2 linked regions of the Xenopus tropicalis genome follow. The protein of the gene in region 1 interacts with the protein of each later gene in a pairwise test. Links are inferred from orthologs where the notes say so. Each region holds a gene or a part of one and is shown in the gene's direction. Other genes may lie near its edges.

Evidence for each region.
Region 2: the proteins of polr3c (region 1) and polr3gl interact in binary tests that used the Homo sapiens proteins (3 or more experiments, as listed by UniProt). The link is inferred for Xenopus tropicalis from reciprocal best matches to the Homo sapiens genes POLR3C and POLR3GL.

The regions. Positions count from the first base shown.
Region 1 is NC_030684.2:141,779,084-141,783,348, forward strand, and holds the start of polr3c (DNA-directed RNA polymerase III subunit RPC3), read left to right. Parts: upstream 1-1,228; 5' UTR 1,229-1,321; exon of another isoform or gene 1,322-1,347; intron 1,348-1,614; 5' UTR 1,615-1,627; coding exon 1,628-1,774; intron 1,775-1,854; coding exon 1,855-2,110; intron 2,111-3,248; coding exon 3,249-3,431; intron 3,432-3,542; coding exon 3,543-3,619; intron 3,620-3,705; coding exon 3,706-3,810; intron 3,811-4,126; coding exon 4,127-4,219; intron 4,220-4,265. Other genes in the region: E3 ubiquitin-protein ligase RNF115, read right to left, coding at 789-866. UniProt on the Homo sapiens protein: DNA-dependent RNA polymerase catalyzes the transcription of DNA into RNA using the four ribonucleoside triphosphates as substrates.
Region 2 is NC_030684.2:128,432,646-128,436,462, forward strand, and holds part of polr3gl (DNA-directed RNA polymerase III subunit RPC7-like), read left to right. Parts: intron 1-934; 5' UTR 935-971; coding exon 972-1,091; intron 1,092-2,733; coding exon 2,734-2,863; intron 2,864-3,817. UniProt on the Homo sapiens protein: DNA-dependent RNA polymerase catalyzes the transcription of DNA into RNA using the four ribonucleoside triphosphates as substrates. Specific peripheric component of RNA polymerase III which synthesizes small RNAs, such as 5S rRNA and tRNAs.

The DNA.
Region 1 (4,265 bases):
CCCCTACATTTCCCTCCCACCCCCCTACATTTCCCTCCCGCCCCCAGGCCCCCCTACATTTCCCTCCCGCCCCCAGGCCCCCCTACATTTCCCTCCCGCCCCCAGGCCCCCCTACATTTCCCTCCCGCCCCCAGGCCCCCCTACATTTCCCTCCCGCCCCCAGGCCCCCCTACATTTCCCTCCCGCCCCCAGGCCCCCTACATTTCCCTCCCGCCCCCAAGCCCCCTACATTTCCCTCCCGCCCCCAAGCCCCCCTACATTCCCCTCCCACCCCCAAGCCCCCCTACATTCCCCTCCCACCCCCAAGCCCCCCTACATTCCCCTCCCACCCCCCTACATTTCCATCCCACCCCAAGCCCCCCCTATACTTTCCTCCCACCCCAGTACCCCTCCCCTGTCCCCTAGATTCTCCCCGCACCCCTCCCTTCGGCCTCCCTACATCCCCCATTAACCCAATTACTCCCCCCCCAAACATCTAACCTGTCCCCCACATTCCCTAACCCTGCCCCCCCCCGGGACCCCAAGCCCCTCTACCCCCCCCTCTCACCCCAGTGCCCCCGCACGTACCCCCCACTCTGTTCCCCACTCCCCCCGGGCCACACATCCAACCACTGTTTACATTGCACTCCCCCCCCCCCCCCCCCGGCCCCCAACATTCCCCTCCCCGCCACCATACCCCACCCCGGCCCATTTCGTTCCCCTCAGCCCAGCAGCCCCCCCCCCGGCCCCCCATATGCCTCCCCCACACACCCCCCAATTGGGCCCCGCACTCCCCCGCAGGGACTCACCGGCAGCTTGGGGTTGACCTCCCCCTTACAGTGATGGCAGAAGAACCGATGCTGAGACACCGCTGCCGCCTCCGCCATGATCCCTACCCGCTCTCCCCCAGCTCCGGCTGCTGCTGCTGGGAACCGCGTCACGTCAGTCCTCCCAGCACCGCCGACTCGCCTACACGAACGTCTCCTATCGTACGGCGGCGCTCTATCCCCTCCAACACCAGCGAGTCTTCCAATCAACCCCTCCCAATATCGGGGCTTGTGAGGCAAGAGTGACCCCGCACGGCGCTCTATCCCCTGCCAGCACCAGCGAGTCTTCCAATCAACCCCTCCCAATATCGGGGCTTGTGAGGCAAGAGTGACCCCGCACGGCGCTCTATCCCCTGCCAGCACCAGCGAGTCTTCCAATCAGCCTCCTCCACTGCCCCCTCAGCCCAAAAGGAGGTTCAAGAGAAGAACGGGGGGGGGTTACTAATACCGGAAGTTGCTATGTGGTAACCAAGGTGACGTTCGGACGGTGTCAGCTGACAGGAAGCGGAAGCCATGTGAGTGCTGTTGGTAGAATTCTGGTGTGAGTTTCACTCTAGGGCTGCATGGAGGCGCTGGCAGAGGATTGTGGGAGCTGAGAGTTGTAGTTCAGCCATAACTTATGATGGTGCCTTAGTTCTGACGGCTCAGACAATTGCTTCCCTACTGCCTGGGCCTCATTGGGCAGATGAGGGGCCTCAGCCCCTGTTGGGACATAAGCTTATAGTCATGTATATGTCTGGCAGTGGGATAGCAGCAGTGATAGTGCATTATAGGGTGTAGTACAACTATAACTATCCCTCTGTTTCAGCCGGTGCCGGGAGATGAGTGCGGTTGAGAGCAAGCTGTGCTCCCTGCTGCTGCAGGAACATTACGGGGAGATTGTGGACCGAGTGGGGACCTTTCTGATACGGACGGGCAACCAGCCGCTGAGAGTGATCGCCAACGAGACAGGGACGTCATTGGATCAGGCAAGTTTAACCCTCTCGCTCCCTGGGCACTGCCCCCAACTAGTCCCCGTCCCTTGATGGACTGTTTTTTCCTCCGACAGGTGAAGAAAGCCCTTTGTGTCCTGATACAGCACAACCTGGTGACCTACCAGCTGAACAAACGCGGCTTTGTCGAGTACAAGGCCCACGTCGACCGCTTCCTGCGCATACTGCGCTACCCGCGCTACATCTACACGGCAAAGACCTTGTACGGGGACACGGGGGAGCTGATTGTGGAGGAGCTGCTGCTCAATGGCAAAATGACACTAAGCGCCGCAGTAAAGAAAGTGGCCGACAGACTGACCGAGACCATGGAAGGTAATGACTGCCGCCTTGGGGTAGCCCTGTGGCAACCTTCTGGGATAGGCAGCCCAGCAACCTGATCATCCCTTCTGGCTGTCAGCTGCCCTGGTTTATATTGTGAGTGTCAGAAATCTAGGGGTGTGCATAGGGGACCCAGCCCCAAGGAGCTGACAGTCTAGTCTAGTGGTAGAATGGGAGCCCCTGTGACTAACCTAAAGAGCTTGCAATCTAGCCACTAGGGCTAAAGTCTAGTGATATAAAGGAAAGCCCTCTGGCGGTCCAAAGAAGCTTACAGTCTAGTTATAAAATGGCACACTCTGTCCCACATAGACTAATATCTATTGGTATAAGGAAATATTCATCTCCCAGGAGCTTACAGTCTAGTGGTAGAATGGGAACCCTTGTGATGGACATAAAAAGCTTACAATCTAACCACTGGGGCTAAAGTCTAGAAATATAATGGAAAGCCCTTTGACTGTCCCAAGAAGCTTACAGTCTAGCTATATAATGGAACACCCTGTCCCACATAGCCTAACATCTATTGGTATAAGGAAATATTCAGCCCCTAGGAGCTTACAGTCTATTGGTAGATTGGGAACTCTTGTGATGGACATCAAAAGCTTGCAATCTAGCCACTGGGGCTAAAGTCTAGTGATATAATGGAAAGCCCTTTGACTGTCTGAAGAAGCTTACAGTCTAGTTATATAATGGCACACCCTATCCCAAATACCCGAGCATCTATTGGTATAAGGAAATATTCAGCCCCTAGAAGCTTACAGTCTATTGGTAGAATGGGAGCCCCTGTGACTAACATAAAGAGCTTGCAATCTAGCCACTGGGGCTAAAGTCTAGTGATATAATGGAAAGCCCTTTGGCTGTCCAAAGAAGCTTACAGTCTAGTTATATAATGGCACACCCTGTCCCACATAGCATAAGATCTATTGGTAAATTGGTTAATATTTATTCAGCCCCTAGAAGCTTGCAGTCTAGTTCTATAGGGGGAAAGTCTGAAGCTGTCAGAAAGAGCTTACAATCTAGTCGCATAACTGGGAACTGTACCGCAAAGAATGTGTACTGTAGAGGAATAATAGGAACCTGCTCAATGCTTTAAGCCCATTAGCTAAGCCCTGTGTATTGTGTTCTCCCTGCGCAGACAGCAAGAGCATGGAGTACAGTGAGGTTTCTGCCACCTTTACCCACCTGGCAGATACACACTTTGTGCAGCGGTGCCCGACTGTGCAGGAGAAGGATGCCACGGAGGGCCGCCCACCACTTGCCCCAACCCTGCAGATGAATGAGAAGGAAATGTACATCGTCCCTAAGCTAAATATGACAGGTAAGTGCCCTTGTGGGGCAGCCGCTCTCCGATACTGCCCGGAGGTGTATACAATGTAGGAAGGGGTGCTACTGGATACCCCTTGTTATGCTGTGCCTATTGTTGCTCTAGGCAGGGGCAAACGCCGCAGATCATCTGATGATGACGATGGAGGCAGTCAGGCCAAGAGACCAAAAAAGGAAGCAGAGGTGGGTGTTCATCGTTCACCCCAATATGGCCCTGCATTCTTGTCTTGCCTGTAACTTACCCTTTCCTCCTTGGTCTCCCTGCCCAGGATAGCCAAGATGATGGCGTCTACTGGCAAGTCAACACGGAGCGGTTCCACCAGCACTTCCGGGACCAGGCTATTATCAGCGCTGTTTCCAATAAAATGGACCAGGTACCTTGTGGCAGAACCCCTTGAGGGGTATGTAGTTTAAGGGGCAGGTATAAACACCTAAATCAAGCAGGTCTTGTATAATGGGCACCAAATACAATCATTGGTTGCTATGGGTTGCTACAACTGGGCACACTTTGGGCCTTATGTTGCATTACCTTCGACCCTTCAGGAAGTAGCGGCAATGTACTACACTGATGCAACAGCAATAAAATGGTCGCTTCCAGTGACAGGCAGCATGGGTTAGAATGACCTAGTAGCTAAGGCTGATCTAAGGCCATCTTGCTTGTGTTTACTTCTTCATAATGGGCTTTTCCAGACCAGCAGTGAGATAGTCCGGACCATGCTGAGAATGAGCGAGGTCACCACTTCATCCAGTGCGGCATACACTCAGCCGCTGTCATCCAATGAGGTCAGTATGAGCCCTCCATTCAAAGATATTCACTGTACTACATGGT
Region 2 (3,817 bases), about 13 Mb from region 1:
GTATCTGGACACCTACCTGTCCATTATTTAATGAATTTAAACAAAACAAAAAAAGAAGTGGTCCTGCTGCTCCAGGTCCTTAGCTCAGGGAAGCCGACAGGCTATCATAACAAAGTAAAAATAGATGATGAGCACTAAAAGTTAAACCCAGTGTTGGATGACCACAAGTATCTGGACATCTACCTGTCCACTGTCTCTGTTAATTAAAACAAAACAAAACAGAAGGGCACCAAAGCACAAATCTATGTAGAAGACATACCAATTCAAGAAAGCAGTCTGGGTGCTACTGACCTTTAGCTCAGGGAAGCAGAAAGACCATAACAAAGCAAAAATAGGTGATGGGTAATCCAATTTATCCACAAAGGGCACAAAATAGTAGTCAAAATCTCTGTTTATAACATTATCTCTACAACCTTACACATATTGTGCCCAAAAACACACTTAATCATAGTTCCACATTATTTTAATGAAACCAAAAGTATAGTCCATCTTACCTGAAGAAACACAGGTATTTGGCCAGTTGCAGCCAAGAAAAGCAGATGTGGCAATGGGTCGCTGCCTTGCTGGGTTCCTTTTCCTTACTTGCCACCTCCCCTTGCTCCTGGATGAGTTTACTTCTGAGTTTATGACGACCACATTTTTGGTCTGATGATAAAGCTTCCAGTTTTATAGTGAGAAGTGGGTCCAAGTGGGTAGAAATACAAGTCTGTGGGTTTGGTGGAATAGCCCTTTGAGATCTTTAGCCAAGGGTATTAATATGAATATGTTATCTGTTATACCAACCCATATTCTTCTGGGAAGCCTTTTTACTGGATGGTGGAACATTGTTGGATTGCTATACACTACATGAAGGAAGTCATGAGATATATACAAAAACAAAATATACAACAACATATACAAAATGTCAGGTGATGTTGATATCTCTTATACCCAGGCTAGGTTATTCTACTGTTTCTTGGGCATAGCACAAGATGGCTGGAAAAGGCAGAGGTAGCGGTCGGGGCCAACTGACCTTTAATGTAGAAGCTGTTGGAATTACCAGAGGGGAAGCACTGCCGCCACCCACTCTCCAACCTCCCCCGTTGTTCCCGGTAAGTTAAGCTCTATACAGCTTTGGTATTAAAGGAAAAGTAACACTAAAAATTTTTAAGTAAAAAAATCTATTCTACCCTGCTCCAATAATTGCCCTATCCTGCACACCGTTTATTATTTTGAATGCTTTATTAGAAAATACCTGCTAAAACCTGGCTTCCGGTCATTTGAAATAAGGCGATGCAGAAGCAGAATTGATCGATCACAGCCTGACTCCTTTGATCGATCCTTGCCTGACTCCTTCCTATACAGAAGGAAGGCTAGGATTGATCGTCGCGTAGTGGATTCTGCTTCTACATCGCCGTATCGCCTTATTTCAAATGACCGGAAGCCGGGTTTTAGCAGAAATTTTCTAATAAAGCATTCAAAATAATAAATGGTGTGCAGGATAGGGCAATTATTGGAGCAGGGTAGAATAGATTTTTTACTTACTTTCCTTTAAAGTGTACATGCTATGTATAGAAATGTACCAAAATAGGCATGAGTGGGGAACATATTGTAACTAAACCACAACTCCCCATATTTTTGACTGCTGATATGTGTTATTGGAGTCAGCAGACTGAATTTCAGCAAGAAGCAGTGAACTACAGGCTCCTGATCCATATCTTAGCATTTTAGTATCTGTTTTCCCTGTCTGCCCATTGTGCACTGCCTTCTATTGCTTTCTGACTTTTTGCCTGTTGGGTGGCAGGATCAGGGTCTGCATTTTTCATTACAGTGCCCAGTTGCCCACCCCTGTGCCTGCCATCCACCTGTTTGCTACTATGGGCCCTTTACAAGTGAGATACATGTGGCCTTCCCTAAGGTATAATGGCCTTTTAGTTATACTGTTATGTTTATAGAATATACATAGGCTTATTTTTCATTTGTCATGGGTTTAAATGCTACTTACCTGGATAGTATTAGGTCTTTATTCATTTTTTTGTACTAATAGGTTTTATTATTTTTTCCTTACTTTCCTAACTTTTTTCACTTGAAAGAAAACCCAGCCATGCTGTGTGTCAGTAGTGCATTGCATACTCATGCTGGAATCAGACTGGACTTTACCTGTCAGTGACTGACAGTAGGGTGTGTTGTTTACAGCTGGGAAACATGTTAGGTTGCGGAACTCAAAAGAAATTCATGCAGCAACTCTATGTACAACAGTTTTGTTAAACATTCCCTGCAGTTTCTTTTTAAAGGACAAGGAATGGTTAAATTACTGGGGGGGGGGGGGCACTCCCTTCAGTGATTATAATGACTTACCTGATACTCTGGGCCGGTGGTCCATTTAGTATAAAACTGCTCTGCCCTGGGGTACTCTGAGCAAGCACCACAGAACAATCCTCTTCTTTCACTTCTTCATTCCTCAATCACCCAGGGTGCATGTGTGCATGTGTGTGAAAAAGCAAACTTGGCTTTTCACTTTACTGAAGTGAAGAAGAAACAAGATGTAGATAATGCAGTGGTGCTAGGTCTGAAGTACCCCAGGCTGCTGCAGTTTTCTGCTAACAGGAGCACCAGCGTGGGGTATCAGGTAAGTAATTATAATTACTGGGGGGTGCCTAACATTTGGCACCCCCTCTGTGATTTCATCTTTTCTTCTCCATTAAGAGCTATACACTGTGTATATCATCCTACTCTCTTTGTTGTTTTGTTCAGAACCTGGAATACAAACCAGTACCCCTGCAGACAGGGGAGGAGGTGGAATATATGCTGGCGTTGAAACAAGAACTCCGAGGAGCCATGAAGACTCTCCCGTACTTCATCAAGCCCGCTGCTCCCAAGAAAGGTGTGTTTAGCTTGGCTCTATTTGGTTGCCCTAAAAAGCACTATATCATTTATTGTTGCAAGGGCAAGTAAAGCAATAGAATCATATGGGCGTGTGGTTTTTAATGCAAATGCCTGATTTTTTACCAGCCCCCCATGCAGTTTTACTTAATCTCCCCGGTCTACTTCTCATGCATGTCTGTGACTCCCCAGGCACACTACCCCCAGTTATGTTATGTGCATGCCCATGTCGTCTCGCTCACTCTGGGAACTTGCACCCTAGGTTGCTTCACTTCACAGTTGCTCCCCATTGGTTAAGGTGAGGAGTTGGCGTAAACTGGCAGCACTTGAAAGCTGAACATGCTATCCTTAAACATGTAGGAAAATAGAAGGGTAAACAAGAACATGGCTAGCAATACATTTACATTAACTAACAATACAGTAAAATACCTTTGGTTCAGCAGCCCTATAACTGCAATGATCCATGCTTTCGAATTTGTATACAGCAACCTCCCATTCTTGGGGTCTTGTTAGGCCATCTTTTGAGTGTCAGTGGCACTGCACATGCTCAGTGTGCTGTTGGATACTGTAAAGAAGGAAACCTCAGGGGTCGTTGGAAATTATGCTGCAAAAATAAGGTTACATTTGTCATAGCTGATGCTACATGGCTGAATGCAGTGCAGAATGCACAGGTTTTTATGACACGGTCACTTTATGGTAATTTAAAGCAAAAAGCACTGGTCACGTTATTCATTATAGATATTTATCAGTTATAACACACATAGATTGTGATACCCACCGGCACTTTATTTCAATTTCAGAATGAGTGTTGTGATTAAGTTTATCGTAATTATGATACAAAACTCAGGGATAGCTGAGTTTAGATTTTCCTTAAAACCACAAAAAGGGGGTTGTCTTTACTCTGTCACCCTCTGTGGTTACAGAAGTTTTTTAGCATATACAGTAGTAGAGCCCT